4 linked regions of the Caenorhabditis elegans genome follow. The protein of the gene in region 1 interacts with the protein of each later gene in a pairwise test. Each region holds a gene or a part of one and is shown in the gene's direction. Other genes may lie near its edges.

What was found.
Region 2: the proteins of ZC434.8 (region 1) and men-1 interact in a two-hybrid assay, tested with the Caenorhabditis elegans proteins (one large-scale study listed by BioGRID).
Region 3: the proteins of ZC434.8 (region 1) and pqn-83 interact in a two-hybrid assay, tested with the Caenorhabditis elegans proteins (one large-scale study listed by BioGRID).
Region 4: the proteins of ZC434.8 (region 1) and asna-1 interact in a two-hybrid assay, tested with the Caenorhabditis elegans proteins (one large-scale study listed by BioGRID).

What each region holds. Positions count from the first base shown.
Region 1 is NC_003279.8:10,346,370-10,353,267, reverse strand, and holds ZC434.8 (putative arginine kinase ZC434.8), read left to right. Parts: upstream 1-3,898; 5' UTR 3,899-3,948; coding exon 3,949-3,987; intron 3,988-4,036; coding exon 4,037-4,324; intron 4,325-4,369; coding exon 4,370-4,972; intron 4,973-5,016; coding exon 5,017-5,169; 3' UTR 5,170-5,213; downstream 5,214-6,898. Other genes in the region: coa-6 (PRORP domain-containing protein), read right to left, coding at 5,314-5,629, 5,691-5,949, 6,006-6,316, 6,370-6,431, 6,479-6,543, 6,590-6,804.
Region 2 is NC_003280.10:14,225,805-14,236,949, reverse strand, and holds men-1 (Malic enzyme), read left to right. Parts: upstream 1-3,094; 5' UTR 3,095-3,146; coding exon 3,147-3,172; intron 3,173-4,673; coding exon 4,674-5,575; intron 5,576-6,582; coding exon 6,583-7,046; intron 7,047-8,279; coding exon 8,280-8,612; intron 8,613-10,221; coding exon 10,222-10,359; 3' UTR 10,360-10,573; downstream 10,574-11,145. Other genes in the region: jmjd-2 (Lysine-specific demethylase 4), read left to right, coding at 1-79, 1,495-1,656; Y48B6A.13 (Diphosphomevalonate decarboxylase), read left to right, coding at 10,691-10,882.
Region 3 is NC_003281.10:13,095,303-13,103,209, reverse strand, and holds the start of pqn-83 (CX domain-containing protein), read left to right. Parts: upstream 1-3,754; coding exon 3,755-4,107; intron 4,108-6,293; coding exon 6,294-6,534; intron 6,535-7,907.
Region 4 is NC_003281.10:8,891,472-8,898,399, forward strand, and holds asna-1 (ATPase asna-1), read left to right. Parts: upstream 1-3,610; 5' UTR 3,611-3,617; coding exon 3,618-4,051; intron 4,052-4,099; coding exon 4,100-4,358; intron 4,359-4,566; coding exon 4,567-4,776; intron 4,777-4,904; coding exon 4,905-5,030; 3' UTR 5,031-5,183; downstream 5,184-6,928. Other genes in the region: lnkn-1 (Protein linkin), read left to right, coding at 1-152, 208-269, 318-647, 1,261-1,746, 1,805-1,966, 2,273-2,404; ZK637.4 (uncharacterized protein), read left to right, coding at 2,742-2,810, 2,863-2,930, 2,980-3,033, 3,089-3,185. UniProt on the Caenorhabditis elegans protein: ATPase required for the post-translational delivery of tail-anchored (TA) proteins to the endoplasmic reticulum. Recognizes and selectively binds the transmembrane domain of TA proteins in the cytosol.

The sequences.
Region 1 (6,898 bases):
GCACCTCTTGAAAAAATATAAGTGAATAGGTTTTTGAGATGGAAAAAGAATTAGAACAAAGTGTTTTTGGAACTGTATTTTGGAAGTGACCATTGTGGATATATTCCCTTGATTTATTGATTTATGCAGAGGGCTAGAAAAAACAGGAACCACGCAGATAATCAGTCATAATACTAGAGATCTGGAATTATATTTGAAAGTTATAACAGTTAATAGAAGGAGAATAAATGGAAAATAGTTATTTTTATAAATTTTCTTTACCTAAAAATGACCCAGACTAATGCACGGGTTGTAAGGTCGTAGATGGTTGATACGTCGAAACGAGCTATATTCAGTACAAAGGTGACGTCATCAGTGGCCTAGAAATCTGTTAAGCTCGTTCTTCATAACTTTTTGAAATTTCTTTAAAAAAATTGAATGTAGAACCGGTGAATGCTTGTACCAAAATAATTTCCAAAATTGCATAGCCTAACTTATGAGTAACTTTTCAGAGTTTTTTTTCTAACCTCCACTATAAAATAGTAATGTGTGATTACTTTCGTAAATTCTTGAAACTCTACATGTACCTCTTTCTTCCCATCTTGAGAGGGTCATTTGACTGAAAGTGAATTAAAGTGTCTGACTCCGCCTCTTTCCTCTCTATTCTTAGAAAGTGAAGTTCAAGACACGATTATGCTTTGAACAAGGAAGACGCGTAGTAATATATTTAACTTTTTGATCCCCCAAAAGTAATGTAATACACGGTTTTCACTTATTGTGGTTTGGAAAAGTATAAAGTTTGATAGGAAGGGGGAGTAGAGTTTAATGGTAGGTAGGCAGATATTTTTAGCATTTTTAGCAAATATTTTTGAAAACCAGCAATTATTGCGGCAGCCAAGTTGCCGAAGTTCTGGAGATTGTTAAACTCATGTTTTGGTGTGTGTGTTTTTTTTTTTGCGAAATAGTGTAATTTTTTAATTTTCAGTGACATTTCAGTGACATCTTTAAGGCTTTGTAACTGCGGATTTTAATAAATTTTGAAATTACCAAAAGATTTCGGGCGAAAGTTGCTCCGCGGTAAAATTTTTAAAAGAAACTATGTATTTGCCTTGATTTCAAAATAAATTGTTCATAGTTAGGGTACTTTCTCAATTTTATTTTGAAAAGTTTGAAATATCAATTACTCAAAGTTATCACAATGTTCCTTTTCTTTTGCCATAACCAATTTCAAACAATAACATCGTAAAGATCAAGATCATGACAGAGAACTTCGCAGATAGATCCTTATCAACCAATTTGGCAACCAATAAAATTTTTGGTTTCCTTGCGAACTTTTTTTTTGAGGATAACACTTGGAGTAGTTCAAGCAAATAGGACAGATAGGAATTTAGACGAATGATATCAGAAATTGAATGGAAAACTTTTTGGAAGTATTGAAAAAAAGAAGAGTAGAAGAATGATTGTTGTGTTTTGTTTAAAATATATATTTTTTATTGTAAAGTTACTGAAATTCAGAAAATTGGTGAGAAATACATATTGCTCGTTATTTATATTTTTCAACTTATCAAATTGTCAAAGCCACAAAAAGCTTGACCATAGGCCTTCAATATTACCTACGCCTGCGTTGCGCCTACACGCAGTTCTTAAAATTCCAACAAATGAACTGGGAATTAGAAATCTAAACATACTCTACGGTTACAAAATGCCGAAATTCTGCTGAGAATAGGTGATAGGCAGGCAACCACGTAGGCAGGCAAATACGAGGTATATTTCTAGAAACTGATTTAACAATATTTTCAGACACTCTGCGCTCTGTTTTTGAAAGATGTTGTGAGCACAAAATTTAAACAAAGCAAAGGCCAAAATGTGTAGACTATTCTGACTGTGAATTTAATTTTAAGAGCACAAAACTCTTTTAAAATAAATCTAAAATCTATTCAGGTTAGTTAATAGATTATTAAAATAAAAGAGTAAGCATAAAACAACAGTAGCATCTGCAACAGACATTGGCAGACATACACACAGGACACACACACAAACACACATACAAAAATCTCTTTTCTGCCATTTTCTTATTCTTCTTTGGTTTTTTCGTTTTCCCGCGTGTGTTGGCAAACTGGATCTGATAGATGCCGCCTGATGACGACTATGAGTGGAAAATGAGGGACAAAAAGATAAGAAAGGGAAAGAATACGGATAACGGAAAAATGGGAGACTGGAAAAAAGGAGAAGTTATTGGGTTAAGGAGAAGGATAGTATCCTAAAGAAGAGAAAGTCCGGGGAAATGATGGAAGAAATTGTGAATGTGTGAAATGATAAGAAAAAGTGACAGGTTTCAACCGTTCCAAACACTTTTCTATAGTCTTCTGGAAGAACTGGATTACGGTAAGTTACGTAATTTGAACATTAAGCAGTGTTTCTAGAGGAAAGTAGGCTATTTTAAACTCATGGAAAGGGCTTTTCAAAATACAAAAGCCAGGGCTAGAAAAATTTTTAAATACGCGCGCAAAATAAATTTCTACCAATAAACGTTTTTAGCGCGTCGCTGATTGGTTGGCACCCTTCTCCATTAAACAATTTAATTCTGAAACCGTTTGTAGTTAATATTAGACACATGAAGATAAGTTGCTATGAAGATAAACCCCGGACCACTTTGAATATTCCAAAACATAAGAATGTGTGAGAAAACTCTCTTGATTGCCCACGGGGCATTTCGTTTAGTGGGTGTGGTTCCCTTGTTTCTTCTAAATAATTTATGCAGTCCTTTATAATGTTTTCCTTTGAAAAAACTTTCATACATCATTTCCCAATTGGGCAATTCTCGGAAATCTCGCAACTGAAAAAACCAAATAGAAGAATAAAGTGCTAGATTTTAATCTGAAGAAACAGATTACGTAGGATGGCTTGGTAAAGAAGGTGTGGGAATAAAAATTGATTGGAAGAAAATATTGTTTTAAAAATAGTTTGAAAATTCAAGATAATAAAAAGAAACGCACCTATACCAAAAAGCTTTTGACAAAATTCAAGATGTGGGCGGGTCTAATTTTGGAACGTCACGGATTAGACATTTGGGGATATTTTTTATATAAACTTTGAAAAGTTGCTGTGTAATTTTTTAATTTATGAAAAACACATAAGTATACCAACAAAAAATCTGAAGTAGCCCTATCCAGCGCCAGTGCCAGTGGGAAAATTTCTGTAATACACGCATATGGTACTACAATTGTAGTACCATTGTATACAATGACCGAGTATTTTTTTTTTAATTCAACAATTTTTTCTTAATTGCATATGATCTATTAAAAATTGATCTCAGAAAAATATCAGTTTTTGACAATTAAATTGAACCTGCCGCCAAACTGTTTGTTCGATAGAGCGCGCTTGCATTATTTTCATTTCATCATTTATTTACTTTTTCTCTCATTATTTCTTTGAATTTTTCATTTTTTGTATATTCTTTTCTGAAAATAAAAGAAAAAAGCAGGTTAAATGCAAATTGATCATTAAAAGTTAACTGAAAACGCGTGCAAGTGTAAAATTATACGTTCCGGTGACGACGAATCTGAAAGTAGTTTGTTTTACAGTTTACCGTTTTTTTTATTGAAAATTGCATTTAACTTGTTTTTTTTTCTTTTTTCTTCCGAACATTTAATTAAGAAAAAACTGAGATTTTATCGACTTTCAAAAAATTGTATCATAGGCGTGCTTTAAACCAATTTCCCCACTGGCGCTATAGCGGGCTATACCCCAAAAATATGTTTAATTATGAATACGTGAAGTTTTTTTTTAAGAACTCCGATGTAATTTGAACTTTCAAAATACATTTTCACTGTATTATATAGAATGTCACGGTCCCACGTTCTGCCACATTATCGTCTGTATAAAAGGGCTTCGTTTCCAAAAATCATCAGTCTAACAGCTTCAGCTCTTCAAAGAACGAACCGCCTGTTACACGTTTCATCATCGAATATGACAGCGACCCCGGAAGTTCAGAAATCGATTGAAGAAGTGAGTTTTCTTAAGTTTTCAAGTTCTTAACGTTTGTTTTTGTTTCCAGGTCTACACGAAACTCCAAGGAGCTTCTGACTGCTCGTCACTTCTCAAGAAGCACTTGACAAAGGACGTTGTCGCCAAGAACAAGTCGAAGAAGACCCGTCTCGGAGCAACTCTTTTGGATGTCATTCAGTCGGGCGGAGAGAACCTCGATTCGGGAGTCGGAATCTATGCTCCAGACGCGGAGAGCTACACCTTGTTCGCGGATCTTTTCAATCCTGTGATCGAAGAGTACCACAATGGATTCAAGGCAACCGACACTCAACCAGCAATGGATTTGGGAGAGAAAAATGTAATTACTTTTTAATTGTTTTTAATTCTATTTTGTACATTTTAGGTTGGAGAACTTGCCGATCTCGACCCAGAGGGCAAATTCATTGTGTCGACACGTATCCGCTGCGGACGTTCTCTGCAAGGATACCCATTCAATCCATGTCTCTCTGAGACCAACTACAAGATGATGGAAACCCGTATGAAGGAGATCTTCAACAGCATCACCGATCCCGAGCTCAAGGGAACGTACTACCCTCTGACTGGAATGGATGAGGAGACGAAGAAGAAGCTCATTGCTGATCACTTCCTCTTCAAAGAAGGTGATCGCTTCTTGAAGGCTGCCAATGCCAACCGTTATTGGCCAAACGGACGTGGAATCTTCCACAATGAGAAGAAGACTTTCTTGGTTTGGGTCAACGAGGAGGATCACTTGCGTATCATCTCTATGCAAAATGGAGGAAATGTTGGTGAAGTTCTCGCCAGACTCATCAAAGGACTGAACCTCGTCGCTGCCAAGGCTCCATTCGCTCGTCATCCACGTCTCGGATGGCTCACCTTCTGTCCAACCAACTTGGGAACAACTGTTCGTGCATCGGTTCACATTAAGCTGCCAAAGATCTCGGCAAAGGACGATTTCAAGAAGATTTGCAGTGACATGAAGCTTCAGGTATTTTTAAAGTTTTATTTCAGTTTTCAAATTATAATTTTCAGATTCGTGGAATTCATGGAGAACATTCGGAATCGAAGGAAGGAATCTATGACATCTCGAACAAGCAGCGTCTTGGGCTTACCGAGTATCAAGCAGTTCGTCAGATGTACGATGGATTGAAGAAGTTGATTGAATTGGAGAAGGCCGCCGCCTAAGAAGATCACTTTCAATTTCTGATTTGGAATAAATTTTAGTAGATAGTTTTATATTCTTTTCAAAGTCAAAAAAAATTAAATCGAGGATCATGAATAGTGTGTTTATTACATGACAAAAACAATACACAATTAGAAACACGTATATCAACTATTTCTAAAAACTTCAACTTTATAACGTTTAATGTTTCTCGACAGCTTTCCTTCTGAGTTCATAACGGGCAGTATCCATATTCTATTATCCGGATTACGAATTCGAATATTGAAATTCCGTCTCGTCTCGATTCGGCCATGGAAGTGTCGATGTGATGCATCAGTGAGAAAATCGTCGAAAATTTTCTCCAACTTTTGATCACCATTACAGATTGCTGAACGATGATCAGTATATTTATCATTTGTAACAATTGACGTCTCCGGACCGAATTCTAGAGCCATTCGAATTATTATGAGGTCATCTGTGGACCTGAAAAAATTGATTTTCAAAAATGGAACTAAAACCAAAAGCCAGATCTTTGAAAACTCACAATTTATCACAAAACAGAGCATTTCCATTATATCTTTCCATCACTTCTTTCCGTAGTTTTTGGTTTGATATCCGTCTAGTTGCAAAGAATACATGCTCGAATTTGCTGGAAATATCATCCCATTCTTTCGGATCCACTCCATAACCGAAATTCAATGCATCAACGACAACCACATTCTCTCCATTTCGAATATTTCTTTCTTCCATCCATCGCAAAACTTTCTGCCGAATTTTCTCGTATTCCTCCTTTTTGACGAACCCTAAAATTGCAAATAAGTAAAAACCACAGATACAGATGTAAGATATAATATTTTACCTTCTTTCATACTTTCCACATATTTATCGCACTTTTCTTTTAGTATCTTTCCTTCTTTTTCGGAAATGTAAGTCTTTTTGACATCTAGCTCTGACTTTACGGATACTTTTGCAGAACAAGCTTCGGCCACTTGTTTGAAGATTTCATCAAATTCAGTTTGTTCCATGAAACGTGGATTATCGACTTGCGCATAGTTCATAAAAACCTGCATAATATCAATGGGCTCTGCATTTTCAAGCTTTGCAGCATCCAGGAAAGCACTAATATGCTCATATAACTTGATATTTTTAGGATAACGTGAGAGCAGTTGCCTGAAAAAGTTGAATGGTAATTATTGAAATATTTGATTTAAATATGCAATTACTTCACAGTTTTCCACTTTTTATTCGCCAGCTCTCGTCGAAAATAGCATCTCACCAAATCTTGCTGAAGTATTAAAAGTAAAAAAACATTTCAGATAAGAAATATGTTACCTTGTGCATAACCTTTGAAAAATCTGGAATTGCAGCATCTTGGTCCAACGACATGCGAAATTTATCTAAAATTACTCTATTTTCAATTTGTTGGAACTTCCACATGTAAACCGTGTTCTTCCTGCATCTTATGTATTTTGCATTTTTCGATGTTATCTTTCAGCCTTTTCAGTGTTAGTCGAGCTTCCTCATCATTTATAGAATGATATACAACTGCGATATATCTCATTGCAGTGAGATTAGCAAAATCCCTCGAAAAACTATTTTGACTTTCCACCATTTTGACGACATTATTGAAAACTGTCGAATCGAAGAAAGAGTTACACCTAAAATTATAAAATTATTCAGAAAAAGGGAAACATTTTATTTCTAAACAATTTCAAAAAAAAGTATGCAAAATCGATCTGAAAACTACAGCAA
Region 2 (11,145 bases), on another chromosome or scaffold:
TCGTGATAATCACGTGGAGGATATCATCTCGTGTGAATGCCTGTTCTGTGAGAACGGAGATCATCAGTATGGGGCGAGAGTGAGTATATCTTGCAACAAAAAATTTGAAAAATTTGAACTTCCCACCATACATTTTACCATTAAAACGGTATTTTAACTGCAAAATTCGAGTTTTCCGTGAAATTTCACACCTGGCTGTACTTTTTTCGAGTCTGTAGGTCAATTTTGAAAATTTTCGGGTTACTGTAGCCCCGAAAGTACGCAGCGCAATGGTGTTTGCGTACCTGGCACCAAATCTGACGAAATTGCGTCTAAATTGGCTCATAATTAATTCACAGGGCAATAAAGGTACGCTGATTCTGAATTTTATATTAAAAATGCTGGGGAATATTGATTTTCCACCAGGAAATTGAAATTTTCAAAAAAAATCGTCAATTTCCTCAAATTTTCGATGATTTTTGCTGCAAAATTCGAGTTCCTCTTGAAATTTCACCCCTGGCTGTACTTTTTTGCAGTCTCTAGCTCAATTTTCACAATTCCGGGTTACTGTAGCCCCGAAAGTACGCAGCGCCTTGGTGTTTGCGTACCTGGCACCAGATTCTACGGAATTTCGTCTAAATGAGCTGAAAAATGAAGTACGGGGCTAAAAAATCATGCTGATTCTGATTTTCATATTAAAAATGTTGGAAAATTAATCGAAATGTGGAAAATTCCGATTTTTTAACGCCGAAAATACAATTTTTAGTGTTTAAAATCGAATTTTTCTCATTTTCAATACGAAATTCAGAATCAGCGTGATTTTATTGCCCTGTGAACCAATTTTCAGCTGATTTAAACAAAATGTCGTCAAATCTGGTGCCTGGTACGCAAACACCGCGGCGTTGCGTACTTTTGGCGCTACAGTAACCGAGAAAATTTCAAAATTGGGCTAAAGCCTCCAAAAAAGTACAGCCAGGGGTGAAATTTCACGGAGAACTCGAATTTTGGAGTTAAAGAGCTCGTGTAGTCCTCGAGGACAAGGTTTTCGATAAAATCCTCAATTTCGGGCAATTCTTTTCGGTATTTTAACACACAAATCGTCTTATTTATAGTTTTTCAGGCCAAAACCGAAAAAAAAACTATAAATTGTGCAGATTTTTACAAAAAAATTGTAAAAATGTATTAAAAATGGCTCATATTCAGGTTTTCCCGATAAAATCTGTTTAAAATTGCTAATAATCCGATTTTTTTTTTCGAAAATATTGTTTTTAAATAGCTAAAATTCAGCTGAATATTTCAGATTTTTCGGGAAAAATTCATTATAAACAGCCGAAATTCAGATTTTCCCCTTTAAAATCACGATTTTTCTAGGGAAAACTCAAGTCTTCTAGTCATTTTTAATGGGTTTTCCTGTTTTTTTAAATAAATTATAAATAAAGAAAAAGCCCGGAAATACTATAAAAAAGTCCTAAAAACCCCCAAAAAAATCAATAAATTCCCCAATTTGTTTTGCAGGTAAAAGTAGTGTGGGACGACAAGCAAGTCTACGACGCGTACTTCCGTGGAAAAGGACAGATGATCGAGTACACGGTCCGACTGGAAGATGGCCGAGAAGTCCGCCATCCACGGAACAGGCTGAAAACGAAGCGAGAACTGAACGCGTATCTCAAAAAATAGCTTTAATAAATAAATAAATATTCGATTTTTTAAAATTTACTATTAAATAGTCCCTGACAAAAAATTCTTGTCAAAATGTAATATATTCTCTCTTTCCCGCCCGTCTACCCTCAAATATGTGATCTCTGCGCCTCTTTTCCCCCCAGTTTTTTTTTGTACGAAAAGTCGAAGAATCTCTAATTATCCCTGTTTTTCTGTTTTTTTTCTGTATTTTTTTGTCATTTAAATATTTTTCGCTATTTTTCCCTATTATTTTGCAGAAACTTTTAAATGTTTTCCCCGAAATTGATCAATTTATCTAATAAACCTTTTTTTTTCCAAATGCCAACACACTAATCGCATTCTTATCAAATAATTCCGTCGAAAAATCAGAAAAATTGGCCAAAGATCACTTTATCCGATTTGTTGACTTCCTGTGAACACGTGTTGAGCTGACAGCTGCGTTGGGAGTGGGAAAATATTGAAAATAACCGGAAAACTCGTTCAAAATCCAGAAATTCTCTTTAAAAAACTGTTTTTTAATGAAAAAACCTTTCAAAATCCAGAAATTCTCTTTTCAAAGCTGTTTTTTAATGAAAAAACCTTTCAAAATCCAGAAATTCTCTTTAAAAAGCTATTTTTAATGAAAAAACAGTTCAAAATCCAGAAATTCTCTTTAAAAAGCTATTTTTTAATGAAAAAACCTTTCAAAATTCGAATTGGCGCCGGTGAATTGACACGGCAACTGCGTACTTTGCGGCCAATGCGCCACATTTGACGACAATTTTTCTTTATTTTTTTCATTGATTTTCGTTATTTTCTTGAGTTTTTGTCGGTTTTCGAGAGGAAAAATAAACTAATTTCTTTATTTTTTGTGGAAAATTCAAAAAATCGCATTAAAATATCTGTTTCTTCCAATTAAAACCCCAAAGATCACGGCTAATTCGATGACAAGGCCACCTTGATCGAAAAATATCGCTATAAACAAGAAAAAAACACGGGAAAACATCATTTTTCTCGCTTTTTCTCCCTCTTCCCTCCTCTCACCGCATACTTGCTCCCCCAAGCACTCATTTCGCCGCCACTCGAAGGAAAAACGATTTTCCATCTTACTTTTTGAAATAAAAATTCATTTTTTCAAGAAAAGAGTTCCGCCCGTGTTTTTGTTTTCTTTTTCTCCCTGCGTCTCTCCGCTGAGTGCAGATCTCTCGCACATAGTTTATCCCGAAAGAATACGTGGATCGATAGACGACGGGCGCCCCCATTTGTGGCTTCTCAGGCAATTGTCTCTCCAGTTTCACCGCGAGTTTTCCCGAATTTTCAGGTTTTCCATAATTTTTTCTGAATAAAAATTGATAAAATGCACTCATTTTTCTTATCAATTGTCACCGTTTTTATTTCACGTGTTTCAAAAAAAAAAGTTTTTATCGAAATTTTACATTTTTCCGTCTCATTTCAGAATCAATTCTCATTTGCTCTTGGGTTTCACAACCGTGCGGGAATCACGAAAAATGCTGAGCCGTCTTTCGCCTGCCAGGTAGGGAGGATTTTGCGTTGAAATTAGCTGAAATTCGAGAAATGTATTAAAAATGACTAAAAATTCAGATTTTCCCGGAAAAATCCATTTAAAACGGCTGAAATTCTGCTTTTCTCGGAAAAAATTTATGAAAAATGGGTGAAATTCAGATGGTCTCGGCAAAAATGCGTAAAATATCGATTTTTCTGCGAGAAATTGCAGAAATTGAAATTTTTACAGGTTTTCGTTGAAAAAGTCTACGAATTTTGACGAGTATTTAAAAAATTTGTAGATTTTTTCGATAAAAACCTATGAAAATTTCAATTTCTGCGATTTTTCTGCGATTTTGCCCAATTTTTCTTGGAAAATCTGAGTTTTAATCATTTTAAATTTATTTTTTCTAAAAAAATCTGAACTTCAGCCATTTTAAATGGTTTTCTCCGGGAAAATCTGCATTTCAGCCATTTTACTAGATTTTTTTCCGAAAAAGTCTGTATTTCTGGCATTTTGAATGAATTTTTGACATTTTTTATGGTTTTATTCCAGAAAAATCTGATTTTTAGCCGCAGTTGGTGGATTTTTCCGAAAAAATCTGAATTTCAGCCAATTTTTAATGGATTTTTTCCGGGAAAATCTAAAATTTCAACATTTTTAAAATGAATTTTCCGCCATTTTTTATGCATTTTTTCCTGGAAAATCTGATTTTAAGCCATTTGTAATCAATTTTTTTTCGGAAAAATCTGAGTTTTAGTCATTATAAATAGTTTTTTTTCTGGAAAAACAGATTTTTCGCTATTTTTAATGTATTTTTCCGGGAAAAAGTCTCAATTTGAGCCGTTTGAATGAGTTTTTCCAGGAGAAATCTGAATTTTCGCTATTTTCAATGGATTTTTTTTTGGAAAAAACTGAATTACAGCCGTTTTTAAGGGATTTTTTCCGAGAAAATCCGATTTTTAGCCATTTTTCATGAATTTTTTTCGGAGAAAATCTGAATTTCAGCCGTTTTTAATTGATTTTTCTGGGAAAGCTTGATTTTTAGCCATTTTTTATATTTAAAAAATTTGAGTTTCAGCCATTTCAAATACATTTTTTCCGTGAAAATCTACTGTTTTAGTCATTAAAAAAAATTTTTTCCAAAAAATCCGATTTTCAGCCTTTTAAATGGATTTTTCCGGGAAAATCTGAATATTTAGTCATTTTTTATGGATTTTTTTCCGGAAAATTTGAAATTTAGCCGTTTTAATGGCATTTTCCCAGAAAAATCTGAGTTTCAGCCATTTCGAATACATTTTTCCGTGAAAATCTACTTTTTAGCCATTTTAAATAGTTTTTTTTCTGGAAAATCTGAATTTTAACGATTTTAAATAAATTTTTTCCATGAAAATCTGAATTTTTAGCCATTATTTATGGATTTTTTTTTCCGAAAAATTTGAATTTCGGTCATTTTAAATGGGTTTCTCCGGGAAAATCTGAATTTTTGCCATTTTTTTCAATGAAAAACCAAAAATCCCCAAATTTCCAGCATCCGCCGTCTCTCCACATCAACACGATGCCTGAGCGACAAAAACGAGCCGGATCTCTCCGATCCCAAAACTCTGGCCCTTCACAAGCTCTACCGCCCGGAACGCACCACACCCCAGAAGCGAGGAATCGACCTGCTCAAGTCGCCCGGGCTCAATAAGGGAATGGCTTTTTCCCTCCACGAACGTCAATATCTCGGAGTTCACGGGCTTCTGCCACCCGCATTTATGACCGAAGAGCAACAAGCCTACCGTATCATCACAAAACTCCGCCAGCAACCTGACAACCTTGCCAAGTACATTCAATTGGACTCGTTGCAGGATCGTAACGAGAAGCTCTACTACCGAGTGCTCTGCGATAATGTGAAGGAGCTCATGCCAATTGTGTACACTCCTACCGTAGGACAAGCCTGTCAGCATTTCGGATTCATCTACCGTAACCCAAAGGGTCTCTACATTACTATTAATGATAATAGTATTAGTAAAATCCATCAGATTCTTGCAAATTGGCCGACAGAGAACGTCCGAGCAATTGTGATCACTGACGGAGAGCGGATCCTCGGCCTCGGCGACCTGGGAACCTATGGAATCGGAATTCCCGTTGGAAAACTTGCACTCTACGTTGCGCTCGCAGGGATTCGCCCGGAATGGTGTCTCCCGGTGATTCTCGACGTGGGAACTGATAACAGCGAGCTGCTCAACGATCCATTCTACACGGGGCTCCGTAGAAAGCGTGTTAGAGGTCCCGAATACGATACGCTCGTCGATAATTTTATGAAGGCGGCCACGAAGCGGTTCGGACGGGATACGCTGATTCAATTTGAAGATTTTGGAAATCAGAATGCGTATCGGTTGTTGGATCGGTATAAGGGAGAATATTGCATGTTTAATGATGATATTCAAGGTAGAATTTGGCAGGGGGGAAATTGAGGAAAAAAAGCGAAAAAATCGGAGAAAAAGGCTTTAAAATGCACATTTGAGAAAAAAAATTGCATTTTGGCCGAAATTTTTCAAAAAAAATCTGAATTTTCACTGTTTTCAAATATGAAATTCAGAATCAGCATACTTTTATTGCCCTGTGCGCCAATTTTCAGCTCATTTAGACGAAGAAATCTCGTAGAATCTGGTGTCTGGTACGCAAACACCGAAGCGCTGCGTACTTTCGGGGCTACAGTAACCCGGATATTTTCAAAATTGAGCTAGTAACTCGAAAAAAAAAGTACAGCCCGGGGTGAAGTTTCACGGGAAACTCGAATTTTGGAGTTTCAAAAAAATAGTGAAGCAAATTTGAGGGGATATATTCCTTTATAACTTTATATTTTAACTGCAAAATTCCGCCGTAAAAGTTTTCCGTAAAATTTCTTTACCCCTAGCCATGTAATTATTTTGGAGTCTCTAGCTCAATTTTGAAAATTTCCGGGTTACTGTAGCCTCAGAAGTACGCAGAGCTTCGGTGTTTGCGTACTTGGCACCGGATTCTACGATATTTCGTTTAAATGAGCTGAAAATTGTTAATTAAAGTATGCTGATTCTGAATTTCGGGTTGAAAATGTCGGAAAATTTCGGGAAATTTCGGATTTTTCTGGAAATTTCAATTTTTTAAAGAGAAATTTTGCTTCTTTTTTTTTTTGGGAAATTTTAATTTTTTGAAAATTTCGATTTTTTTGACCTTGAACTTGGAAATAAAAGTGAAAAATTGATTCTAAAAATAATAGTTTCCCAGGAAATTTGGATTTTTTCAATATAAAATAGGAAACAAAAAAAAAAGGTCTTTAAAAAATAGTTTTAAAAATTAAAAATTAAAAGTTCTTTTGTTTTCAGATTTCAGATTTGAAATTTTTGATTAAAAAAAAAAATTAAAAAATAGTTAGAAATAAATTTTGTAAAAAAAATTTTTTTGCAAATTTCCAGGTACCGCCGCTGTCGTCGTCGCCGGCCTGCTCGCCTCAACTCGTATCACCAAGAAGAAGCTCTCCCAGGAACGGATCGTCTTCCTCGGAGCCGGTGGAGCCGCCACCGGAGTCGCCGAAATGTGTGTCCGACAGATGATGGACGAGGGATTGTCGGAGGAAGAAGCTTGCGGTCGGATTTATATGGTTGATATTGAAGGACTCATCACGACGTCTCGTAGTAAATCTCTTGGCGAGAGACATGTGAAATTCGCTAAAGATCTTCCGGATACCAAGAATCTGCTGGAAGTTGTGAAGACTGTCAAGCCTGGAGCACTCATCGGAGCATCTACGGTGGCTGGAGCATTTACGGAGGATATTATTAAGGAAATGGCTCGGCTGAACCCGAGGCCAATCATTTTTGCACTGTCCAACCCTACAAGTAAAGCAGAATGCACTGCGGAGACGGCTTATCGCTGCACAAATGTACGGGATATGTAAATTTAGAGAAAAAACTGGAAAAATATGGAGAAAATCTGAATTTTTCAGATTTTTTGAGCTGAATTTACTGCATTTTTCATGGAAAAGTGAATTTTTAAATTCAAAAATTCGCCGTTTTTCAGATTTTTCCAATGAAAAGTTAGTTAAAAATTATTATTTTCCAGCTTTTTCATGGAAAAAAAATCAAAAATTTTTAAATCCAAATGTATAATTTTCCGGACTTTTTGTGTTAAAAATTAACCGTTTTTTTTTCAGATTTTCCATGAAAAAATGTTTTTTTTTTCAAATAAAAAACTTAAAAAATCTCAATTTTTACAATTTAGAGCCATTTTTCAATGAAAAACCTGAAAAATAGTAATTTTAAAGTCGCTTTTCAAAGAGAAATCTGGAAATCTGAAAATTTAAATTTTAAAATCTAAAATATATATCAATTTTTAGAATTTAGAGCGGTTTTAAATGAAAAATCTGGGAAAAAAGTAATTTTTAAATAGTAATAAAAATAATAACGAAAATTGGAAAAAAAAACTGGAAAAATATGGAGAAAATCTGCACTTTTTTAGTTGAGAAATGTAGAATTTGCCAATTTTCGCTTGATTTTTCATGGAAAAATTATTTTGAAATTCAAAAATTGACCGTTTTTTTTCAGATTTACCTTTTAAAAAGTGACTTTATAAATCAAAAATTAACCTTTTTTAATTGAAAATTAATATTTTCCACGGCAAAGAGAATATTTTAAATTTATTTTTCTTTAAAAAATCTGGAAAATGCCAATTTTAATTAAAAAAAAATCATTTTAAAATAATGTTTTAGTTTTTAATTTATTGAAGTCAATTTTATAATTTAAAGTTGCGTCGTTTTTTCAGATTTTTTACGGAAAAATGATTTTAAATTGAATTAAATTTTGTTTTTTAACAGAAAAATCTTTAAAAAGGTACAATTTCTTCCAATTGTAAGTTAATTTTTTCGAAGAAAATTGTGGAAAATGTCAATTTTAAAATTTATTCTTTTTAGATTTTTAGTTGAAAAAATGATTTTAGAATTTAATAAAAATTTATATTTTTCAGCTCTTTCGTGGAAAAATGATTTTAAATGGAATTAAAATTAATTTTCTATGGAAAAATTTGGAAAAATGTCAATTTTTAATCTTAAAAATCATTTTTCAATGAAAAATCTGAAAAATCAGTTATTTTTCCCTCCAAAAATACCCAATTTTTGCAGGGAGCCGTCCTCTTCGCCTCCGGATCCCCGTTCGAAAATGTCGAAATGAATGGAAAACTCTATAAGCCAGGACAGGGAAACAACGCCTACATCTTCCCGGGTGTTGCTCTCGGAGCCGTCCTCTTCCGTACCAAAAACATTCCGGACAAGCTGTTCCTTCTGGCCGCCCGTATGGTCGCCGAAGCCGTATCGGAGAAGTCGTTGAACACGTATTCACGTGTATATCCACGTCTGAAGGATATTCGAGAACTTTCGGTGAAAATTGCCGTAGAAGTTGGCGAGTATTGTTATCGACACGATTTGGCCACTTTGCACCCGAAACCCGATGATATGGTGCGGTTGTTTTTGAGTGGAAATTTGAAAAAAAAAAACGTCGGAAAATTTCGATTTTCCTGCAATTTTTAGACATTTTTTGCTGAAAAAAACATGAAAAACTGTTGAAAAATACCAAAAAAAAAAACTTTTCCCCGAAAAAAAGTGATTTTCCTCACTTTTTAATGCAAAAAATGGCCATGTGTCGATTTACGCGAATCGTGTACTCCTCGGAGAGAAAAGCAATTTTTTGAGTGGAAATTTGGAAAAAATCGGGAAAATTTCGATTTTCCTAGCATTTCAAGCTGAAAAAACATGAAAAATGGATGAAAAACATTTTTAAAAATGACAAAAAAAGACTTTTCCCCACCCGAAAAAATTGATTTTCCTCACTTTTTAATGCAAAAAATGGCCGTGTACCGATTTACGCGAGTCGTGTACTCCTCGAGGAAAAGAATAATTTTTCATGGAAAAAAGCATTTTTAGCTGAAAAACATGAAAAAATTTTGAAAAATACCTTCAAAAATGATTTTTAGACAATTTTATGCCTAAAATTGAAAAATTCTACTTATTTCTGACGATTTTTCCGAAAAAAACTGCTGAAAATATAATTTTTCACATTTTTTTTCGAATGCAAAAATATGACCGTGTGTCGATTTACGCGGTTCGTGTACTCCCCGAGGAGAATTTCCGAATTTACTATTCGAATTGCTCATTTTCATAGGTTTTTTTCCGGTGAAAGTACGATTTTTCTGGTTTCTAGTGCATTTTCAGCAGTAAATTCATTTATTTTCACTAAAAACTTTAAAAAATCAATAAATTAGGTGATTTAAATCGTTAAAAATCAAAAAATCAGCAAAAATGGACTACTTTTAGCCTAAAACGTGAATTTCCTTGCAAAAACAACGCAAACTTCTCCTCGGGGAGTACACACGAGCCGCAGATTAATCGACACTGCAAAATTCGAGTTCCTCGTAAAATTTCGCCCCTAGTCGTCTTTTTTTTGGAGTCTCTAGCTCAATTTTGAAAATTTCCGGGTTACTGTAGCCTCAGAAGTACGCAGAGCTTCGGTGTTTGCGTACTTGGCACCGGATTCTACGATATTTCGTTTAAATGAGCTGAAAATTGTTAATTAAAGTATGCTGATTCTGAATTTCGGGTTGAAAATGTCGGGAAATTTCGGGAAATTTCGGATTTTTCTGGAAATTTCAATTTTTTAAAGAGAAATTTTGCTTCTTTTTTTTTTTGGGAAATTTTAATTTTTTGAAAATTTCGATTTTTTTGACCTTGAACTTGGAAATAAAAGTGAAAAATTGATTCTAAAAATAATAGTTTCCCCTAAAAATTGTCAAAAATCTTAAAATTTTTCAAATATTTTGGAATTTTTTGAGAAATTTCAATTTTTAACCCGAAATTTCCGAAAAAAATCTCAAAAAAAAGGAAAATGAGAAGTTAAAAAACGCAATTTTCCCCTAAAAAATTGTCAAAAATTTTGGGATTTTTTGAGAATTTTTAATTAATTTTTAACTAGCAATTTCTCAAAAAATTTGTTAAAAAATTTCGTAAAATTGGTTAAAAGTTTGTGCTTTTTTTTCAGTTTTAAATTTATAAAAAATTTGAATTTTTCCAGGAAATGTTCATTCGCCAGAACCTGTACAGTGTTGAGTATGATGAGCTGATCAATAAGACTTACGAATGGCCAGCCAAGGATTCGAAACACGGTTTCCCGGTTCCAGTGTTGAGAAGAACCTCGATGGACGAGGAATAATCTTTTATTTTATCGTTTTTTTTCCCAATTTTTTTCGCATTTTTCTCTAGTCTCTCTCTCCATCTCTCTTTCCCGCGTAAATACACCCTATTTTACCTTTTTACCCCTAAAAATTCATTTTTTTTTCACAAAGTTCTTAATGTCTACGTGTATAGCATAATCCTATGGATTTTTAGATTATACAAAAATTTAATTATATAAATTTACATGTAAATTTAGCTTGTTAGGGCATTTTTCCAGTTTTTTTTTGTTCCTGTTGGATTTCCAGATTTTTGCCGCTTTTTTTGGTCACTCCGTTTTCCAGCAATTTTTCAGATTTTTTGCCACCAGAATGAGCCAAGACGATGGAGCAGCGGAGGCGGAGGCGACGGTCCGAGTTCCGATGAACATTGCACTTGTCAAGTATTGGGGAAAACGAGATGATCTACTCATTCTGCCGCTCAATGATTCGATTTCACTGACCGTGGATCGGCTGACGGCGGAGACGACAATTCGGATGGTTCCTGGAGTTGGGAAGCATACGGTAGCGCGGAATTTTGGAGCGGGAAATTTTTTTTGTTGAAAAATCTGGTTTCCATGAAAAATATCGAAAAATTTGAGAAAAAATGACTTTTTTCCCTCAAAAAATGCCATAAATATTACCCAAAAAAGCGAAGTTTGCTATTTTTGCGCAAAAAATACGGTACCCCGAGTCTCGAAACGACCGAATTTTTGTTAAATGCAAAATGCAAAGATGTGATGCGCCTTTAAAGATACTGTAGTTTCAGAATTTTTTAAAATTGATTT
Region 3 (7,907 bases), on another chromosome or scaffold:
AACAGTCGCTGTTGACCATATTTTGTTTGTCTGTCCAAGTGTCGGTTTATTTGTTCACGAACTACTACTTCCTTGCCACTGATATTCGGTATTTCTTCGCATTTCCCAATTTTCATCCCAAGATAAATAAAATTATATACTCTGTGATAGCTGAACTCGATCGATATTTAGTGATTGGAAGTTTTTAAAAAAATGTGCTTTATTGGAAAATAGTTCTTATTTTAATTGAAACATTTAAAAAAAATGCAAAAAAGTCGAAAAAAAAATATTTAAATTTTCCAACTTTCAGACATTTTTTAAAAAATATTTACAAAGCAACGATTTTTCTACATTCTATCACTAAATTTTGATGAAAAGGAAAAACTACTAAAAAAAACTAAATTTTCCTCATAATTCGTTCATTGCGAAGAAATAATAATAGACTATGATTTTCTCGATTCCCGTTTCTTTCTCTGAATCCACACATCATATAAATCGAAATCATCGTCAACGCAAAATTAGTCTCACAATGGTTATTATAATGGTTTCACTGTTGTTATGTCGAATTATAGGCGAAACATATTGTTGTGTTGCCTCGACTGATGATTCTCGAACTTTCCGTCTCGTCATATAGTTTGGGAGAGAACTATTCTATTTCCAATATTTTCGGCGTTTTTTTAGCGTTTTTCAATGGAAAATGTTGCTAGTTTGGTTTTAAAATTGTTATAATTAGCAAAGTTGAGGATTATAATTTTAATTTGAGATCCAGTCAATTATTTTTTTTTAAATTATTTTCTAGTTTAGTTTAAAGGTGGCCTTCTGGGTTTGTTGTCTTAAACTGTAAACCTCAAAAGTACGAGAAAATTTTACTGATTGTATATTTCAGCTTGAAATCGCGAATTTCATTTGTGCAGATTTTTCAAACACCGAATTTTCGCGCCAGAGCCGCCATGTGTCGATTTACGAAAATTTTGATAATTATCGGATGCTGGTTTTCATTTTTCAACGAGTTTCCTTTATTTTCGTCGGCTTTTGCCAAAGTTTTTTTTTGAAATTGAGTTTTTTAAGGTTAATTAAACAGTATATTATTAAAACGTCAACAAAACTTTCAGCCGGGAAAGATTCAGATTTTCCGTCGAGTTGTGACCATCGGAAATTTTTTGTTCGTTTTTTGATAATATAATGTTTAATTGACGTTTAAAAACACATTTTCAAAATAAAAACTTTGGCAAAAACAGACGAAAATGAAGGAAACTCGTTAAAAATGGAAATCAGCGTCTTATAAAGATTTAAAATTTCATAATTATATTGTAAAAAACGATTTACGAAATTTGTGTATATTTATAAATATACAAAAATCTCGTAAATCGACACATGGCCGCCCTGGCGCGAAAATTCGGTGTTTGAAAAGATTTCAAGCAGAAATATAAAATCATCGAAATTTTTTCGAATTTTTTCACTCAGATATTCGAAATCAAGGGAAAAATTGGATTCATTTAAAAATATATTGATCAGATTTCAGTACTCCACCTTTAAATATAAAATAACTTCTTGACAAAAAAGTCTACAAAGTCAAATAACACGTCTCTTGTATTATGGGGTTATTCAAGTAGTGTCGGAAAATTAAAAAGTGTAGAAAAATTACGTCACAACTGTATTCAAGTATATAAAAACATGTATTTAAATACATTTGTGACGTCACAAATGTATTTAAATACATTTTGCTAAATTACTTGAATAACCCCATTAGTCACCGATCCAATTAGGTACCATCCACTAGACAATCGAATTATAAATTCGTCATATATAAGCATCATATATAGAAGTTTCCCACACGTGGTTCCTCTCTTGACCTACACCTACCTCCCCGACTGTGTATGTTTTTCGTCTCGCGACGACGAGGACCGTTTCCCTTTTTCCATTTCACTTTTTCCACCCATCGATTCAAAACAACACTGTCTAGTTTCCACGTCATCTAGTATCTGGCAAATGAAGTGATGAAATCACGAAACTTACCACAATAAAACAAAAAAAAAACTTTGCCGTTTTGACCTTCACTCCCTGGTGATTTCTCGATTTCTCCTTCCCTTCTCGTGAATAGAAGAAGACACAGAGACCGATACCGATAAAATCGATAAAGCCACCACAACCGCCGCCCATTCTCGATTTCGATCCGCCGGCCGGTTCCGGTTTAGTTTTCGGTTGTTGTTTTCCCACTGTGAACTATTACGGGAATAATAAATCATGAGAATGCGTACGTGGAGCATTTTATTTGACGCGTGATTTCTCTTAGCGAAAACTACAGTAAGAACTCAAATAACAATAGTTTTTCAAGTTCTTACTGTAGTTTTCGCTAAGAGATATCGCGCGTCAAATAAAATGCTCCACGAACGCATTCTCATGATTTATTGTTCCCGTAATAACTAGCAAAGTCAACTTTTGACTTTACAGCTGTTCAAATTGCTCTGTTTTTTTTTGCTCTGAATATATGAGCCTGAGCCATATTGAGCTGGGCTATTGAGTCGAGTGTTTCCGGTGGTTCCCCTATTTTGGCTGTTTTGTGCTCACCTTGACGGATTTTGTTACATAATCCTTTTTTTTTTCAAAAAAGTGTGCGGCAATTGCCGTTCGGCAAATCGGCAAATTTCAATTCCGGCAATTTTCTGATTTGTCGGAAATTTCAATTCCGGCAATTTGCCGATTTGCCGGAAATTTCAATTCCGGCAATTTGCCCATTTGCCGGAAATTTAAATTCCGGCGATTTGCCCATTTGCCGGAAATTTAAATTCCGGAAATTTGCCGATTTGCCGATTTGCCGGACACTTCAATTCCGACCATTTGCCGATTTGCCGCAAATTTCAAGTCTGACAATTTACCGAAAGTTTCAATTCCGACAAGTTGTCGATTTGCCCGAAATTTCAATTCCGGCAAGTTGTCGATTTGCCCGAAATTTCAATTCCGGCAAGTTGTCGATTTGCCCGAAATTTCAATTCCGGCAAGTTGTCGATTTGCCCGAAATTTCAATTCCGGCAATTTGCCCATTTGCCGGAAATTTCAATTCCGGTAATCTGCCAATTTGCCGGAAATTTCAATTCCGGTAATTTGCCGATTTGTCGGAAATTTCAATTCCGGCAAGTTGTCGATTTGCCGGAAATTTCAATTCCGGCAAGTTGTCGATTTGCCCGAAATTTCAATTCCGGCGATTTGCCGGTTTACAGAAATTTCAATTCCGATAATTTGCCGATTTGTCGGAAATTTCAATTCCGGCAAGTTGTCGATTTGCCGGAAATTTCAATTCCGGCAACTTGCCGATTTGCAGGCAAAAAATCATTTGCAAATTATCATTATTATTTTGTAAATCAAAAAATCTTGAGATATATCAAAACTATGCTGATTTTAATTTATAAAAAAGTGAATTTTTGCCGACTTTCTAGAAATCTGAAAATTTACTTATTCTTTACTCACAAGATTGAAACAAAAAATCATTTTTGGCTAATTTCCCCTGCTTGAATTCCCTCCAAAAAGTGAACTGCACGACCAATCAGCGTCTTCGAACTCCGCCCACTCCTTCTGATTGGCTGAAAAGGGGCCGGAGCGAATCGCTGATTGGTCATGCAGATCTCGTTAAGTTAGATTTTTATTCTTTCGCGATTTGTTCAATCTTTCGCGATAAATGACGAAAAATACTATAATTTTTATGATGAATAAACGTTTTTCTCTCTAAGATGATTTCCCGTACCAATTTGAAAAACGACACTTTTTATTGGTTTTTCAGATGTTCCGGCATCTATATATAGGCCTCATCAGTCTTCTAGTCTTGACCGCCGGCCCGATCGAGGCCCGAAGATCTTCGAGTGGCGGTGGCAGCCTGTCAGGTGGCGGTGGAGGTGGTGGTGGATTCTCGAGTCGCGGACAGAGTGGATCAAGAACTGGAGTTCAACAAGGAACCGGAGGAGGAGGATTCAACAATAATCAAGGAGGATTCCATCCGAATCAAGGATCCGGTGGATTCAATCAGCCACGACCGAACAACAATTTCAACAATAATCCACAGGGAGGATTCCATCCGAACCCGAATCAAGGTGGCTTCCACCCGAATCAGGGAGGATTCCATCCAAATAATGGAGGGTACGGGCTTCAAAGTTTGGCTTAAAATACCTGAAACAGTCTCTAAAATTCAAGAAAATCACGAAAGAAATTGGAAAAAAGTCGAAAAATAATTAAATTTTCAACTTTTAACCGAAATTTTAAAGGTGGATTTTAGTGGAGTACCGAAATTTGAGACGTTGCCTTTTTAGACTAAAATTGGTCCAAAACTACCGAATTTGTTAATGAGAAGGTCTGAAAATTTCTCAAAAAAAAAGTTATGGCGGTTCAAAGTTCGGCAAAATAAGGCCCATTTTCAGCTAAAATCAAAATTATTTACATCTTCTCGGTGTCGCAACGTCTGAAACCTAATTTTTATTTAATTATCACTTTTTAATGAATATTGTGGTTTTTGATTGGGCGTTTATTCGCTGATTTAAGTACATTTATGGTTTTTGGGGCACAAATAAAAGTTACATTTTGTGCCCCAAAGACCATAAATGTGCTTAAAACAACGAATAAACGCCTAATCAAAGACCACAATATTTATTAAAAAGTGATAAATAAATAAAAATTAGGTTCCAGACGTTGCGACACCGAGAAGTTGGAAAAAATTTGAGTTTAGCTGAGAATGGGCTTTATTTTGCCGAACTTTGAACCGCCATAACTTTTTTTTGGGAAATTTTCAGACCTTCTCATTAACAAATTCGGTAGTTTTGGACCAATCTTGGTCTAAAAAAGCACAAAGTCTCTAATTTCGGTACTCTACCTTCAAATTTTTCAGAAATTTTAAGAGATTTTTCTGAAAATCTAAAAACCAAACTATTTTGATTCTAAATTTTAGTGGAAAAAAATTCGACACCCCTTCTTCCAACGTGGTTGTCAGGTTGTCTCATTGCGGTTCGATCTACAGAAAATGCGGGAATTTTCCCCCCCAGGAAAATGTTGAAAAGTCTGCGTCTCTTCTCCCGCATTTTTCGAAGATCAAACCGGAATGGGACACTTTGACACATTTTTTAAGACGTCTTGAAAATAAAAAATAACTCAAAATTCGAAAATTTCAAAAAAAATTCAATTTTGTACCAAAAAAAAACTGAATTTCGTAATGTCAGACGTCTGGAAAATTTTTTAAAAATTTATATTTTTGTTCAAAACTCAAAAAGCCCCTATTTTGAGCTAAAATTTCGAAATTAGCGTTGATTTAGGCACATTTTCGGTCTATGGGTGCACAAAATTCTGAGAATGCGTATTGCACAACATGTTTGACGCGCAAAATATCTCGTAGCGAAGACACTACAGTAATCCTTTAAATGACTACTGTAGCACTAATGTCGATTTACGGGATCTCGATTTTTGAAATAAAATAAAAAAGTTTTTTATCGATAAATAGTGTTGAAATTAATTTATCGATCCTTAAATTTTGCAAAAAAAATTATTGTCGCACAGAAAACGGGGTGGGGCGTAACTTTCGCAACACTGCCGCACGGTGCTAGTCTCCTCCCCTTTTTAATGCTTTTCCTGTTGATTTTTTCAATAAATTTTCCATTTTACTTGTATTTTTCTCTTTTTTTCGAAATGGATAACATTTTCATTTGAACAAAAAAGAAAAGAAAAATACAAGTAAAATGGAAAATTTATTGAAAAAATCAACAGGAAAAGCATTAAAAAGGGGCGGAGACTAGCACCGTGCGGCAGTGTTGCGAAAGTTACGCCCCGCCCAATTTTCTGTGCGACAAATTTTTTTTTGCAAATTTTCATGAATCGATAATCTAATTTCAACAGTATTTATCGATAGAAAATTATATTAATTCATTTCGAAAATCGATCCCGTAAATCGACATTACAGTAGTCATTTACAGAATTACTGTAGTTTTTTTTTTCGCTACGAGATATTTTGCGCGTCAAATATGTTGTGCAATACGCATTTTGTGCAGAAATAGACCGAAAATGTGCGATTTTAGGTCAAAATAGGGTTTTTTTTCGAATTTTGAACCAAATTAAAATTTTTTAGAATTTTGCCAGACGCCTGACATTACGAAATTCAGTTTTTCTGATAAAAAATTGGATTTTTTTTTCTTTTTTTAGCTCAAAGTAGTGGTTTTTACGAGTTTTGTGTCCAAAATTGATATTTTTTTATGAATTTTGCATCGAACTGAAAAAATTAAAAATAAATAAAAATACATTTTCAAGGAGCCTGACATCAACCAAAAACCGTCAAATTTTTCCAGATTCCGTCCAGGCACCGGTCTCGGCTCTCAATCGAGCAGTGGAACATTCAAGAAAGCTCTGATCGGTGGAGCTCTCGGAGCAGCCGGAGGAATTCTAGCCTATGAAGCCGGAAAAGCTATTATCAAGTCGGCAACCGAGCCATTTAATTACAATGGACGTAACTATAATTGGGATAATCACGGACAAGTTCGCAATGGAGAATTCCAGTGCTCAATTCCGTTGAGCCAGTTGACCGCGCAGGTGGGAATCAAAATTTTGAGTTTTTTGCCGGAAATTTGCCGGTTTGCCGGAAATTTCAATTCCGGCAGTTTGCCGATTTGCCGGAAATTTTAATTCTGGCAATTTGCCGATTTGTCAGAAATTTCAGTTCCGGCAATTTGCCGATTTGTCGGAAATTTTAATTCCGGCAATTTGCCGATTTGCCAGAAATTTCAATTCCGGAATTTTGCCGGTTTGCCGGAAATTTTAATTCCGGCATTTTACCGATTTACCGGAAATTTTAATTCCGGCAATTTGCCGATTTGCCAGAAATTTCAATTCCGGAATTTTGCCGGTTTGCCGGAAATTTTTAATTCCGGCAATTTGCCGATTTGCCGGAAATTTTAATTCCGGCAATTTGTCGATTTGCGGGAAATTTCAATTCCGGCAATTTGTCGATTTGCGGGAAATTTCAATTCCGGCAATTTGCCGATTTGACGAAAATTTTAATTCCGGCAATTTGCCGGTTTGCCGAAAATTTTAATTCCGGCAATTTGCCGATTTTCCGGAAATTTCAATTCCGGTAATTTGCCGATTTGCCAGAAATTTCAATTCCGGTAATTTGCCGATTTGCCAGAAATTTCAGTTCCGGCAATTTGCCGATTTGCCGGAAATTTTAATTCTGGCAATTTGCCGATTTGCCGGAAATTTCAATTCCGGTAATTTGCCGATTTGCCAGAAATTTCAGTTCCGGCAATTTGCCGATTTGCCGGAAATTTTAATTCTGGCAATTTGTCGATTTGCGGAAAATTTCAATTCCGGCAATTTGCCGGTTTGCCGAAAATTTTAATTCCGGCAATTTGCCGATTTGCCGGAAATTTCAATTCCGGCAATTTGCCGGTTTGCCGGAAAAAAATTTGCTGGAAAATATTCCTAAAACTCGGAACTTCCATTTAAAAAATCGATTTTTTATTCTCTAAAAATCCCATTTTTAACGAAATTAAAAAAAAATCCGAGAATTTTCAATTTTTGGAATTTTTTAACATTTTGTAAAAAATCGATTTTTTTTGTGTTAAAAACTTGTATTTTTTCATGAAAAATTTTTATTTTCACCGAAAAAATCTGAAAAATTCAATTTTGCCGTCAAAAAAGTACCAAAAACTCTGAATTTCGAGAAAATTTCAATTTTTGTCGAAAATTTAGTAAAAATCCTAATTTTCTGTATAAAATTATCTCGAAAACTCGAAATTTATAATGAAAAATTCCAAATTTTGTCGAAAAACTTGAATTTTTTTTGAAAAATCGATTTTCACCGGAAAAAATTGAATTTTGCGCAAAAAAACTCGGCAAATTGCCGGAATTTAAAATTTCCGAAAAACCGGCAAACAAGATATTTGCCGGAATTGAAAATTTTC
Region 4 (6,928 bases), on another chromosome or scaffold:
ATTCTATCCGAATGGATCAATGTTCTGTACCGGATTCAATAAAGAAGGAAAATACAATCTACTGGTGAATGGTTGCAAACATGAATTCGTCGCTTTTCCCGAAAAATTAAATATTTATCCAGGAATGCCGCACTTGTTTGTTGACTTGAATTGTGAGTTTAAATTTTTATATTTTCTTAATTGGAATCTAACAATTTCACGTTTTAGCCGACCTGATTGCTGATATTGTCTTCATGACCAAAGAAAGCGATGGATCACTTTTCATGAGTGTAAGTCTATTTTAACAGTAGTAGTTTGAAATGCAATATATTTTTCAGGTTTGGCAAAAGACAAAAATCAGCTGGCAATTTAGAGATTGGGTTCCTAAATTGACTCCAGCACAATATCCATTCGTTGGTGCTCCAGTTGTTATGGATGTTGATTCGGACGGTGAACTCGACATTCTAGTACCAATCTGCCGTGAAGATGAGTGCTCACACATTACTCAAATGGCTTCTTGGTCGAAGACTAAACTTTGGGGATTGGTGGCCTGTGATATGCAAGATTATACAGTTATTAAAGAACCATTTTCACGAGTTATATTCCGCGTTGGAGAATTCTCGTTGGACAGTTTCCCTGATATGGTGGTTATTGCGCAGGCAACCAGAGTGAGTTTAACAATTTTTATTTTAAACAGGATGTGGTTGTATACTTTTAAAAAATGTTCTATGGCTTGATAAGGCGTTATGTATATCTGATTCTTTAAAAGTTCCAAAAATCAACCTCTTCGTCTATTGAATTTGAATTTCGATTTTTAATTTTCTTTGAGTTTTGTAAGAAACGCGGCCGTGTACTCTTCTCGGACAATTAACTAATTAAATTTTTGGATTTCAAGTAATTTTTCGCATTTTCTTGATTTCCCTCGGTATGTTGTAACAGATGCAGAGACGCATTTTACTTTAATTAACAGACCACTCACTCCTAAATACAGTAATGTATCTTGTTCTGCTGATGAATGACACTTCTAAAATCACATAGTTTATTCATTTTCCTGTTTTTCATTGAATAATCAATTTGATAGTGTTATCGATTTTCATTAGAAATAACGGGAAGTAACGAGAAAATACTAGGACATGGCCTAAAATTCAAAAATTTAATTAATTAATAGTACGAGAAGAGTAAAAATAGGAAGATCAGACTTGATTTCCCAAAAATAACTTCAGTTAACTGAATAATGCAAAAAAAATTACCTTTCATTAATCAAAATTTGAATAATTTCAGGCCAACACTCGCCCTGTGATCAAAGTAATGGACAATGCAGAATGTACAAAATGTGAAAAGAACGGAACACGACGATTCGAAATCCGAGCTCAAGAGAATATTCAACCAAAAAATATGTCTCTCGGAGTCATCAAAATGGGAACATTTTTTGATCTTCTTGAAGATGGATCATTGGATCTTCTTGTTGAGTATGAATACGGTGGTCAGACACGTTTTGGATTCATCTACTGCCCTGATAAAGGAGATACAACATTCTTGAAAGTTCAAGTTTTCACAGGAGTTTGCAGTGATCGATGCAATCCAAAATCAAACGAGATTGGATCGAGTATCAGTATGACTGGTGCATGTGCTTCTTTCTCAATGACAGATGGATGGGGAGGTAGTACACAGAGTGTAGCATGTCAAGTTCCGGCTTCATCAAATAGAGCACTTTATCTCCCATTTTTGTTGTATGGTCTTGGAAGAAGTCCAAATTTTGTGGATGAGGTAATTTCATATCTTCTAGATATTTTCGTTCAATTATTCCAAATAATCTTTTTTTCAGTTGAATATTGCCATTCCGAAATACGCAGATCGTAAAGAAGATTGGAAACACAGTCTTAAACAGATTGTTCCAAATTCTCGGATTATTGTTCTCCCACCATCGGATCAATATCCACACTGGACGAGTCGGCTCTACGTCACACCATCAGCTCTTATTGTTCAGGTAAGATTATTATGGAGACGTGGACATACGCTCCAAATGGGAACGACGGAAATTGATAAAATAAAATTAAAAAATAAAAGAAAAAAACTTTTCATTTTTAATGCATTCTTTAAACATAATTTCGGCATAAAAATCATTAAAACTAACGAAAAACATTTCAAAATGGTTGCAAATACGAATTCGTTGAATTCACGGGTTTGCTGCCAAATAACTAACGAGACCCATGGCTCGGGGGCGGAGCGTAGTCAGTTGGCCATGGGGCACATTTCCACGTCTCTATAATAAATCGATATTCTCATTTTCCAGAGTCTTGCCGTCATTGCTCTCGTATGCTGTATGCTTCTAATGGTTGTCGTATTCTTACATTATCGAGAGAAAAAGGAAGATCGATACGAACGACAACAACAATCTCATCGATTCCATTTCGATGCCATGTAGATTTTTTTGTGAATTTTAAGATCATATCTTCTTGAAGACGAGATCGTTTTTTACGGGTTCCCATCATTTGTCTCTTTTTTTGCATATTTGACCTTTTGAAGCTTCATCCTGTGTTTAGATTTCCCATTTCGAGCTGTGATTGCACGTCGGAGTATTTTTAGAGATCAGCTTTAAATCCGAGTTTTCCTTGTTTGAAAATAGAAACATTATTTGAAAACAACTGTAATATTTATTCCACGTGACCCCTTACCCTCCATCACTCTCTTTATAAACTGAACAGAGACTTTTTCGTTTTTTTGACGAACTATTAAAATAAAACTTTTTGAATTTTTTCCTAATGAAGTCAAATCCAAAATATTTTCTAATGAATGACGTGGAGCGGCAGAGCAAATATTCGCCGAAATATGTGAGTTTTCTTCAAATTTTTGTTAACTTTAACAAAAAGTTTCCAATTTCAGGTTCCAAACAACAGTCTGAAAGAGCGAATTCTGGAGTTTTTGGATTATTACATTGCGCCATTGAAACTGTAAGTTTCATTTTATGGAAAATTCTCATAAAAAACTCAATATTTTCAGGTATCTTCTGTCTTACCCGATGCCGGATTGCCTTTGGGACAATCGAAAATTGAGGTATTACATCGGAAAATCGTTGCAATGACATGGAACCCACATTCATTTTTTTCAGATTGAAGGCCAGTGGTGTGCAAGTGACTCCGAGCTCCGAACCAGTTCATATCGATGATCGTCTAATTCACATTTCACAGAAACAACCGTCCGAATGATTTTTCGATTTTTATTTAATAAAGTTTTAGAAATTATTTCATTTTTTTCAAGTTTTATCCGTGTTCTAATGGTTTTCTATTACCTTATTATTATTTCTTCAGTTCTCCAAAAAAAAATATTACCCAGACATAAAATGTTGAGGTTTTGTAACCTGGGTCTCGCCCCGAGAAAATTTTGTTAAATGCAGAAAGTTGTGCGCCTTTGGAGTACTGTAATAAACACTTTCGGAATTTTCATAATCGAATCAAAAAAGTTATTTATTAAAGAACTTAACTCCTATCAAGTCGAGAAAACACTGTAGAAAAACAATAAAAATTTGTATCCATTTTTACTTGAAAAATTAAAAAAACTGCAAAAGGCTAGACATTTCTTTTTAAAATTTCAAACTTTAAATGCAAATAAACCTAAAACTTCTTTTTTTTTCAGAAATAATGTCGGATCAGCTGGAAGCCTCTATCAAGAATATTCTCGAACAAAAAACGCTAAAATGGATTTTTGTGGGTGGAAAGGGAGGTGTCGGAAAGACGACATGCAGTTGCTCATTGGCAGCTCAACTCTCAAAAGTTCGTGAGAGAGTTCTTCTCATCTCCACCGATCCCGCCCACAACATTTCTGATGCCTTCAGTCAGAAATTCACAAAAACTCCAACACTGGTCGAAGGTTTCAAAAATCTCTTTGCAATGGAAATCGATTCAAATCCGAACGGAGAAGGCGTCGAAATGGGGAATATCGAAGAAATGCTGCAAAATGCTGCACAAAACGAAGGTGGAAGCGGTGGATTCTCGATGGGAAAAGATTTTCTTCAAAGTTTTGCTGGAGGACTTCCTGGGATTGATGAGGCAATGAGTTTCGGGGAAATGATAAAGTGAGTGTCAATGATTCTGATTTTTAAAAAATCTATTATTTTTTTCAGGTTGATAGACTCTCTTGACTTCGACGTTGTGGTCTTTGACACCGCTCCAACTGGGCACACTCTTCGTCTTCTTCAATTCCCAACACTTTTGGAAAAAGTATTTACGAAAATTCTGTCACTTCAAGGAATGTTTGGACCAATGATGAATCAATTCGGTGGAATGTTTGGAATGGGAGGTGGATCAATGAATGAAATGATTGAAAAGATGACAACGACTCTAGAATCTGTGAAAAAGATGAACGCACAGTTTAAGGATCCTGTTAGTTTTTCAGATTCAAGTGATATTTAAAATTACTACGGAGATATATCACCCAGACGCGAAAATTGTCGTAAAATTCTGCATCTTGGTAATATGTTTTTTTAACCTTTTCAATTATATCAAGGGTAAATTCTAGCTTGATATATATTGAATTCAGAGATTTTAAATCATCAAAGTTTCTGCAGAGCATTCAAATATGTATTTACAGAATTGCACCACATTCGTCTGCGTCTGCATTGCCGAATTCCTCTCTCTTTACGAAACCGAACGACTTATTCAGGAGTTGTCCAAACAAGGAATCGATACTCATAATATTATTGTGAATCAACTTCTCTTTCCGGATACCGATGCAAATGGAACAGTTTCATGCAGAAAATGTGCATCGAGACAGGCGATTCAGTCGAAATACTTGACAGATGTGAGTTTAAATGAGAAGTTTGATAAATTATTAAATTAGAAACTTTGAGCAAATTAATATTGAATAACCACAGTGCATTTTTGACTCTGTCGTGATTTGCTAGATGCGGAATAAATCAATTTTTCCAGATCGATGAGCTCTACGAGGATTTCCACGTCGTCAAACTTCCACTTCTTGAGGCAGAAGTGCGTGGAGGGCCCGCAATTCTTCAGTTCAGCGAACGGATGGTGGATCCTGAAGCTAACAAAAACTAAACTAATTTGTTCTCCTACAAAATCAACTTGTTCTGTGGTTTTTTATGTTAAAAGATTCTTCCTATCCCATGTTTTTTCTCCAAAATTCCCTGTCCCCTTATTTCTCGCTTTATTGTGGGTGCCTTTTTCGAATCAAATGAATAATTTATGATATTCATTGTTTTTTACTTAGGATTGAAGTATATTTGGAACATAATTATCTTTCAAACTTCAGCCTGGCAAACTATTTTTGTCAAGTAATCATTTTAATTAGCTAGATTTTAGACGTAATTTCTTTCAAATAGTACCTAGTATTAGGCAGCCGACAGGTCATGGGACCAAGCAGTACATTTTTCCGACTGCTAGACTTCATCCGACACTTACCTAGATTCAGAGAATTCAATTTTCACACAACTTGTTAAAATCTCTAGTTTACGAGCTTGTTTTTAACCAGACTTATGGATCCTGAGAATGGAGGGCCATGGAGCCTCCATGGAGGGGATGGCAGTTGGAGATACAATGATTTTGGAGTAATTTTACCTTCGTATTATTTTTCATGTGATTTCATTTTCAATTCACTTAGCCCCGTTTCCTAATGTTCAAGTTGCTATTTCCAATTTATTTTCCTTGGTCCACTTCATATTCCTTGGAATTTTTTCTGCATTCAAATTACCAAATAGCCACGTGCAATATCCCATTCTCTGCAGTTTTGAAATTTGAATTTATACAATAAACATGAGTTGTCAAATATTCAGTCTTAATCTGATATTAGTTCAAATATATTCCAAATCAATTCCAAATATATTCGAAATATATTTCAAATATATTCCAAATATATTTAAAATATATTCCAAATATATTCCAAATCTATTCCAAATATATTCCAAATATATTTCCTATTCTACTAATCTTTTTCTCAATTTCTGTGCGAAATTGTGTTATTATCGTACCAGGGAACAGAGATATGACCAAATCTGTACTCACTGTTCAGATTTTTTATAAAAATGGTGAAAAAAGGCTTTGGATAATTCCAAACATTCATTTGGCAGAAGCTGGAAGTTAATGAAACACACACCGCAGCTGTTAAAACTTATATAAATATATTTTCTGTTTCCAAAATTATAAACTTGTAAAATAAAACCGTTTCAAAACTTTCACGATCGAAAATATGATGCGTGCCAAAAGGACGTCAGAATATATTTGGAATATATTTGGAATATATTTGAAATATATTTGGAATACATTTGGAATAGATTTGGAATATATTTGGAATAGATTTGGAATATATTTGGAATATATTTGGAATATATTTGAAATATATTTGGAATATATCAGTTTCCGGTAATTTTTGTTTGTCCGCTAAGATACTTTGTCACCCAAAAGTTTGTTATCACGGAGAATTGATCAACTATGCTTGATTTATTGCTTTTATACCCCTTATGATCCTTTGAAGCTGAAGGATCAGATCATCAGGAGGTACCCATCTGATCCTTTGAAGCTGAAGGAACAGATCACCAGGAGGTACCCTTCTGATCCTTCGGAGCTGAAGGATCAGATCACCAGGAGGTACCCTTCTGATCCTTTGAAGCTGAATAATCAGATCATCAGGAGGGATCATTGTTCATACATTCAATTGTGAGTAGTCAAGGCCGAAAATCCATGGAAAATTGCATTTAAAAACTTATTCCAGTGAAAAAAAAACAAAAATCGATTGAGAAATATATATAAAAAACTAGTTGAAAAAGTTTGTCACCGAAGATACGCCCGGTCAGAGACAAATGGCACTTTGTCGACTGGATACCATGTCACTTTGGATACTTTGTCCCCAAAAATACCTTGCCACCCTAAAAGTTTGTCCCCTCGGAATGAAGGCCATTTTGATGCATCTCAATCATCTCCAGATTCTTTGCAAGAAGATC